2 linked regions of the Oryzias latipes genome follow. The protein of the gene in region 2 interacts with the protein of the main gene of each other region in a pairwise test. Links are inferred from orthologs where the notes say so. Each region holds a gene or a part of one and is shown on either strand. Other genes may lie near its edges.

Region 1 (4,268 bases), on a different chromosome or scaffold from region 2:
AACACTAGTAACTAGTAATGCTGTGCGTTACCTGGAATGCCAGATTTGGCGATGGCAGCGGCAGCGTGATCCTGAGTGGAGAAAATGTTGCAGCTCGACCACTGAACCTGAGGAGGAGAAGATCCAGGTCAGCCGAGGAGGAGATGTCTGAAAACCTTTTAATAACAAAACGTTTAAAGTAATTTGTAAAACTTTATTTAAACTGTTCACTCCACCAAAACAGAAAAATCACGAGCAAGTTTGTTTTCCTCTGTGCTTTAACCACAGCAGTTATGCTAGTGTGCACCAAAAACATTTTAACCATGGACGGTTGGGACATTTAGAAGTTCAGGAGCCCGTTTAGATGCAACATATGTAATTGAGTCACTGAAAGCTGAGCACAGCTGCAGAGATAAAACCAAAATGGAGGTTTGGGAGATTACCGGCTTCAGAAAGCAGCTTTCCTCTGTTCTGCTGGCTCCTGCAGGAGGAGACCAGTCCTGGCTGGACAGATTAAACCAGCATGATAACAGAACACACCGGCCTTGACCGAACAGGGGGAAAGGGGGGGGTCTTTACACCTGTGACGGGACTATGACAAGACCCGGCTCAGAACAGCGCCATTCTGATGGTTCTCTGCACTGTAACGTTCCGGTCCAAGTCTCACAAAGCTGCTAATCTGAGCCAACCTCAGAGGGAGATTTTCCTCTGTAATCCAGGAAGACCGGGTTTAGGCTATGGTTTTCCAAAATAAACAATAAAAAAATAACTGCGGCTTCTTCCTTCCTTAATTGATGAAACCACGATTACAAACAAGTAAAGGTCACCTCAGCTCCGAGGGCAGTGAGGGTCTCGATGAGCACGGCGGTCTGCAGGGTCATGTGAAGGCAGCCGGCGATTCTGGCGCCCTTCAGAGGCTTGGACTGCCCGTACAGCTCCCTCATCTTCATAAGGCCGGGCATCTCATTCTCTGCGATGTCGATGGCCTTTCGCCCCCATTCAGCCAGGCTGATGTCGGCTAAAACAGCAACCGGGACATCAAAAAAGAAATCAGTACCTGTTCCACTCGTGTCTTAAACTGCATTAGAAATGTCAGACTGAAGTTCAAAACACAGGAAAAAATGATTTAGAGCCATTTTGTACACAAAAGTAAATATTTAATAGACAGATGTTACTGCCCGTCTGAACCCACAATTCTTTAATAACTTAGAAATATCAAATAAAAATGGAATCACTGAAAGGACAAATAACATTATGACACAATTTCATATGAAATTCAATGTTTCTGTGTTGCTTCAGCTTTAGTTTCAATGTTGAGGACATTTTATATGACTGTTTTTCTTTGATCCATGTAAAAATTCCCTCAGGTTGCTAGATTTTGCTGCCGCACTCATCTCTGCTAGTGGAAAGACTCTTGATCCTTGTCATTGACTTTGGAGTAAACCTGTCGTAATTCCATCCAAATGCATCGACTGAGAAGCTGAACAAGTTGCTCAATTCCCCACCAACACATCGGCTCAGTCTGGGGTAAAGTCCACACTCTGTCCCAAAGTTTCACAAAGCCTATGCATCCATTAGATTTTAACATCCTAAACTTTTCATAATACTCATTTACTATACAAGTGGTGGGTCAGTCATTTTGCAGAAGGGTCACTCCTGCGTTATGTTTGAAAAGCACGTCTTCCAGTCTTGTCCTGCCTCCACGGTCACTTTTATGACCTCAGGAAATGATAACCCATCACTGTTGCACAACGTAATAACATTTATAAGCATTAGCCATTAAACAAATACATTTAGCCTTGAAACATGTTTCTTTTTAATCAAGTTAGTGGTTCCAGTAAGGATGGTTTGACATAGAAAAGGGGGAAATGCTGTAGTAGAGTACTGAATTTAAGTTATGCAAGAAAAAAAAAGTTTACTAAAGGTTACCTGAAAACTGTCTCATCTACTATGTAAATAGTAAAAATGTGTTTTGATTTGTGTTATTTTACAATGATTTGTTTTTATTTCTGATTGTAAATTAATTGACCATATTTTTGCTCATATTTGGTTACATGGTTACATGTTAGTACTAAACCAAACTACCAGCAACATCCCCAGCCTCTCAGTATTTATTAATTTTTAATTTTTTTTAATGGGCATGTGTGAAAAATAAATAAATAAAAATGAACAAATAAAGTGGAATGTGGCAAGCTAATTTATTATAGGTTGTTTAGACCCTTTTTTGTCTTTTTACTTTTACTTACCGGTACTTCCTAAAACAAGTCACTTAAATGCATCGTAAGTTTACCTATTTTTTTTTTTTTTTTATGTTCGAGGTAATAATACAATTTAAAAGACATGTAAACTATTACTGACTTGGTGTTACAAAAAAAGACCACGTGCTGCTTTCCTGACATGCGGTAACAGCATATCTTGCCTGTTCTTGTCACTCACGTAAAACTGGCGGTGAAACGCTAGTCATCATGGGAATTTGAGTCCACAAAGACAATGAATGCTACTTTTGTAACGCCTCTAGCTTTACCCAAAACTACATCATCCAGGGTGATTATAGACAACTCTCGCTCCACAAAAATGGTCATACATGGCGCAATTTCCATGTCGATTCATTCTCATAACTGATTAAAAGTCTGCAAATAGTGTATGAATAATAAATGTAAAGACCAACAAGGTAAAAGTAGAAGCGAAACATTAGGTCAAGCTTTACCGACGACTCTTTCATTCAGCGACATAGTTATCATTCAGCGTGCTAATTATTAATAATATGGAATATGGTCTCGGGAACAACACAACCGGAGGGTAAACGTTTAAGATATTAACATGAACAGCAATAGCCTCGTTTCGCTGGGTGGAACTACTAGCATTTGCCGGTTTCCCATTTGGCACGACCATGTTGCTAACACAGCTCGCTTGTTTCTTTTTTCCCACTTAAAAAATGTGCACGTCAAAGACATAAGAATAAACATTAATAAAGGGTCACCACTGACCAACTTTGTAGGGAAGTTTCTCGGACATGGCTGTTCTTGATGTTTTGTTCCGGGGTGGTTGAAATAAGCTGCGGCCTGGCCGACGGACGAAGGCAGAGAGGGAGGAACGACAACATGACGACTCGCTTTTTATAGCGGAAGCTCCATGCAGGCGAGTTCAGACGAGTGGGCGGCACCATTCGGCTCTTTATCTGACATTTAATTGGCTGCGGCAGCTCCCGCCCCACGACAGAATTACGTTATTGGCTAACGATAAATGGAGCTAGCCAAACAGAAGTGGATTTGTGATGGCGGCAGGGAAGGGAAGGACACGGAACGTTTTATTTGGTTGGAGCAAGTTTTTTCTGGATTTTGTAGACAGGAGACCGTCCTGTTCTGTAAATCTGCGTGTATTGATTTTAACAGTTACACATTTGAAGTTTCACAATGACTCACATCTCAGTGAAGTCTTAAAAACTAAGGACTATTTACTAACAAGAGTTTATAGCAAAGCATAACATTGTGTGACACTGAAATAGACAGTAAGATTTACCAGCGGTAAAACTCTGTAATCTCTAAAAAGACTTGTTTATTAATCACCTACTTTTGAATATTTATTATTAGAGCCTCCTTTAGTATATTTTAGCCAACAACTGCAACCCAATCGGCTTGTCTAACTGATGTAAGCTATCTAATCAGTGGTTCAATGAGTAACTTGTCTGCTGTAGCTTTAAGAGCAAAGGAGAACTCAGTTTCACTATGAACTTACTGACAATCAAATAATTTTCTGGTTAAATTAATAAATATAAATACAGAAAAAGGAGTTGTGGGCTTTTTTTTTCAATGTCTTTATTTCTTTTCATATCCCCAAATCACTAATAAACACAAGATCTTGCACACGTTTTTATACAGGGGTGTGCATACACACACACACACACATATATATATATATATATATATATATATATATATATATATATATATATATATATATATATATATATATATATATATATATATATATATATATATATATATATGTGTGTGTGTGTGTGTGTGTGTGTGTGTGTGTGTGTGTGTGTGTGTGTGTGTGTGTGTGTGTGTGTGTGTGTGTGTGTGTGTGTGTGCATTTTTAGCTAGTATTTGTTATCCCCTTTATGTCCACACTGTGAGATTCTGTTTAAGCTTGTTGTGCTGGAAAAACCTGTAAACTCAACAATTTATCAGGTATCTTTGGTGGAATGATCAGTTCGGAGCAGCAACATTTCACTTGAGCGTATATTGAATTTTTCATGCTAATTTGCCTCAAGACAGCTATCCCAG
Region 2 (4,321 bases):
ATGAAATTTAGCGATAAATAATACCATGTTTACACAAAAGAAAGCATCACGGTCTTTGACATCAACGCTATGAAAACCAAAAAGTATGTTTTTATAATAAAGTTGTATGTCAGCAAAAATAGAATCGGTGATAAATTTGTGAATGTTTTTCCAAAATCTGTATGTAAATTCACAAGACCAGAATAAATGAGAGCAGGTTTCAGGTTGTTTCTGGCAGAAAGTACAACTGGTGTTTATGTCAGCCTTAAATTTAGTTAAATAATGCTTTGCTGGATAAAATCTGTGTAGGAGTTTAAAAGAGATTTCTTTGACTTTATTTGTTAAGAAGTATTTTTGTGGTAAAGACCAGACTTTTTTCCAATCAATGTTAGAAGTGAAATTAGCCTGGTAGTTCTTCTGATTTCCCCGTGTTTTTTTCCCCAGGCAAAAAAAATAATATATAATTTTTTTATAATTTAATTTTCTGCCCCCCACAAGGTATTTCAGGAAATTCTAGTCTCGAAAAGTTTGGCTTCTCCTGCAGTTTTTCTTTTGGTAAGAATTTAAAACGAGCCATTAAAGGGCAAACTGTGTGCTAATTAGGAGCTATAACTTTAGAATACTTTCAACTAGTAATGTCAAATCAAACGTTTAGCAATTCAGTGCAAACAGGTTTTTTCAGTTGTCGGGTGGAAAATAAATGTGTTTTTAGCTAGGTGTTGCATTTTTGTTTTATTTATTTTTAAATATATTTAATTTACTTTAACCATATACTTTTCTTTGGCTTCTGGTATTTAAAAAATATCATTATTAAAAGGGTTTACATTTTTGAGGGAATTGAAAATTTTGTAGAAACGCTAACCTGTTCGGCAGCAGTTTCCGGTTTGTTTTGCAAAAATTCTTAAAGTTATGTTTAACTATTTAGGCTTATTTAGAGCACGTTTCTCTCATTTTCTTGAACAATGATTTAAGTTTTATTTATTTTTTTAAATTTGCTTTATTTGGCTTCAGCTTAACTTTTTCATATTTACTTTTTCCATGAAATTATTTTAATCGTAATTATTTTGTAAACTATGATGTTTATTTTAATTATATACATGTATTATTTTCAGCTGTGAATATATGCATTCATAATATTATACTTACTTTGTTTTCAACCCCATTATTTAGTCAGCCAAGGGCTCTAATATTTCCATCCATCATTTAAAATTGAATTTTACATTTGTTGTTAAATACTAGTCAAATTATTATTTTATATTTTATCAAGAAACAATTCCCAAATAACGTGTAGAAACTATAATTATTTTTACGATACAATCATACACAAGCCGAGACTGACAGCAGTGTTGCACCTGTTACCATGCTTGGAAGTTCGCACTAAATTTATCATTTTATTCGTGACGCTGAGGGCAAAAACAAAGAATCTGACGTTAAGTTTGGTATTAATTAAAAAGTAAAACACGGAAGGTTATTGCGTGAAGTAACCGCTACCATGGGAACGAACATTTGTGCGCAGTTGTCACATCTTAACGTTCCCCCCCTAGTGAGACGGTGGCGTTTTACACCGGCAGACCTCTGACTGTCACCACAGTTTTAGGACTGAACGAGTGTTCAGGGTGACGACAGCGCTTCTGTGGCGTCAACCAGCAGCATACATAAATACAAAGGAGAAAAGTAGCTGTTTCCCCGTTAAATGGCGGCCACGACGAAGTTACGTTAGCTGAAGCTACAAGCTAACACCTCCTCAAGCTAGCCAGTAGGTAAGGTTAGCCGGGGTAGCTACAGTTAGCTGGAGAGTCTGTTCAGCCCGAGCTGTGTGCAATCACTTGTTAAATCGGTCGTGGATTGTGTTTTGACAATTGATGTAAATAGCACGGCGGTTTTGCACCATATGATCTAACATCGCTAGTGTTTTGTGGCAAAATGTCCACGACTTCGTTGGATAAAGAATTACAAGAGAGGCTGAGAGAAGCATCTGCTATCGGGGATCTGGACGAAGTGCGCTCGTTAGTGGAGAGTGGAGTAAACGTCAATTCCCAAAACGAAATCAATGGATGGTAAGTATTACGAAAATGTTTAATCTGACCAAAAATGAGTCCCCAGTGTTGTTTTACGATCAGCAATTATCACGTGTCCTTGATGTAACGAGGATTAAAAATGCTCACTGTTATCCTATTACACAAAGCAGAGCTTGTTAAACCGCCAACATTGCGACTTTTTCCTTTGCTTATCAAATTGTGTTTTCACTATCAGCTTCTGTCTGATTGTCCAGGACTCTAACTTCCAGAATTGTTGTCTTTATAATCAGTGTTCCTTAAGTCCCACTCCAGTTATATTTCAATCTTTTGTAAAAAAGTTCAGAGTGGTCTTTTAATTATGATTTATAGGCAAAATCCAAAAACCTGTTGTGCTCTAGGCCATAGTTTCTGCAGAGCGGAAATTAGAAAAAAATCACCTCTGCTGATATCCCATCATCCCTTTGTTTACACTTTCTCCCTTTAGCTTACAGCCCACACCTAACATTAGTGGTGCAACAAAAACGTCAAAAACACAATTAACACGATTTTCTTTGGAGTGGGTCTTTCAAGTGAAAATATGTTTATGCTATGGGCCACATCTCATGTCTAAATGCTTTTTCTTTCATTGTTTTCTTTAGGACATGCCTGCACTGGGCTTGCAAGAGGAACCATAAGCATGTAGTGACCTATTTACTAAGTTGTGGGGCAGACAAAGAAGTCCTCACGGCTAAAGATGAGCTGGCGTCTCAACTAACATCCAAACCAGAGATCAAGCGACTGTTAGGCGGTAAAGTTCTTCTAATTACTTTTTTTATTCCCCAGGATATGATATCCACTCTGTGACAGATGAGACGTCAGTTAAAAAATTGTATCTTATAGAATACATTTGTCTTTGGTTAATACACTCCAAAGTTGAGCTATAGGGTTTGTCTTTCTATAGTATTTTTCAGCAGTAAAATGATATCTACATGTATAAATGATATTTACATGTGGAAGGAAAAACTTCAGTTAGTTGCAAAAATATTTGCAAGTCCACAACATTTATGTACATATATATATTTAAAAAAAAAAGGTAAACCTGTAGAAATCTAATTTTTCCACTTGTAAAAATATTTTCCAGGTGCTCAGAAAAGTCTTAATCTTGTGTTTGGTTCACAAAATTCTTCACGCTCAAGTTACGTCCTCATACTTTTGACGCGAGTTTTGCAGATCAACCAGTCAGCACCTTTCTTTCCAATCGGTGTACCAGCTCTGCAAAAATGTTGTATTTCTTCATTCATACGTTTTTTTTCTTACAATTTTCATTATTAAAACCATAATTAAAAATAAAAGTCAATACTAGAAATGCGTTTTCATTTTCAAAATGAAGCTGCATTTGTTGACTCAAAATTATAAAATGAAAAAGCAATCCGCCAAACCGCTTTTTCATTTTCTTCTTCTACATCGCTTATTCTGTCACTTAAAACGCTGGGGCGATGGCTTCAGTGCTCGCTGTTCTACTGCGTTGTTGGTCCTACCAGCTAAAGTTCAGCATGGCAAAATCTGTGCTAGAGGGAGGCTGCAGCTGTCCTCAGACGGCAAAATTAGCGGGAAACAGCAGGAGATGATTTCTAAATGTTCTTTAACTATTGTTACGATTATTATTAAGGACCTGTTCGCTCATGCGGCCAGTGCTTTATTCTTGGCTACAAGGACCGGGAAGAAAGGTTAGCATTAGGCTAAGATGTGCCAACAACAACATTTAGCTGTGATGAACTTAAACTCCTTGCGGGCGATGCCGCGATGTGTCTCTTGGATGTAAATTTGTGGGAATAACATCAGCCTTTATTTTGTCTTGACAACACTGGAACCACAAATTCACATGATTGTTTACACGGTTTCTCAGGACTGCGCAGACTGACCGCGGTCCGAAGCCTCCTCCGGACTTGCTTGGTGTTTGCAGGCCGGGGAGGGGGCTTTGTTATGGTGTGCGCTCCGTCCAAACACGAAGCTAGTCCGGATGAAGCTTCGGACTGCAGCCAGACGGACTGCGGTCCGAGGCTTCCGGACCACAGAAGGCGGAAATGCTGCTACGCCGTCCGGAGAAACCGTGTAAACCATCAGGAGCGCACACCGTAACAAATTCCCCTTCCCTGCCTGCAACCACCAAACTAGTTTGTAGTTTTGTGTTAATTGGAGCAAAACTGTAAAAATTCCAGGTTTTGATTAACAAAATAAATCAACACAAAGGTTGATGTTCACAACTCAACCTACTGAGAATAAGGTGAGATTCAGTTAAATTTAGTCTGCAGTGTTGGAAAAATTATTATTGTTATAAATGCAAT

What was found.
Region 1: the proteins of ankrd40 (region 2) and ahcy interact in binary tests that used the Homo sapiens proteins (3 or more experiments, as listed by UniProt). The two-hybrid records come from large-scale screens. The link is inferred for Oryzias latipes from reciprocal best matches to the Homo sapiens genes ANKRD40 and AHCY.

Annotation. Positions count from the first base shown.
Region 1 is NC_019863.2:24,734,096-24,738,363, reverse strand, and holds the start of ahcy (adenosylhomocysteinase), read right to left. Parts: upstream 3,099-4,268; 5' UTR 2,995-3,098; coding exon 2,967-2,994; intron 998-2,966; coding exon 807-997; intron 108-806; coding exon 32-107; intron 1-31. UniProt on the Homo sapiens protein: Catalyzes the hydrolysis of S-adenosyl-L-homocysteine to form adenosine and homocysteine. Binds copper ions.
Region 2 is NC_019866.2:13,503,898-13,508,218, reverse strand, and holds the start of ankrd40 (ankyrin repeat domain-containing protein 40), read left to right. Parts: upstream 1-1,469; 5' UTR 1,470-1,902; coding exon 1,903-2,036; intron 2,037-2,635; coding exon 2,636-2,784; intron 2,785-4,321.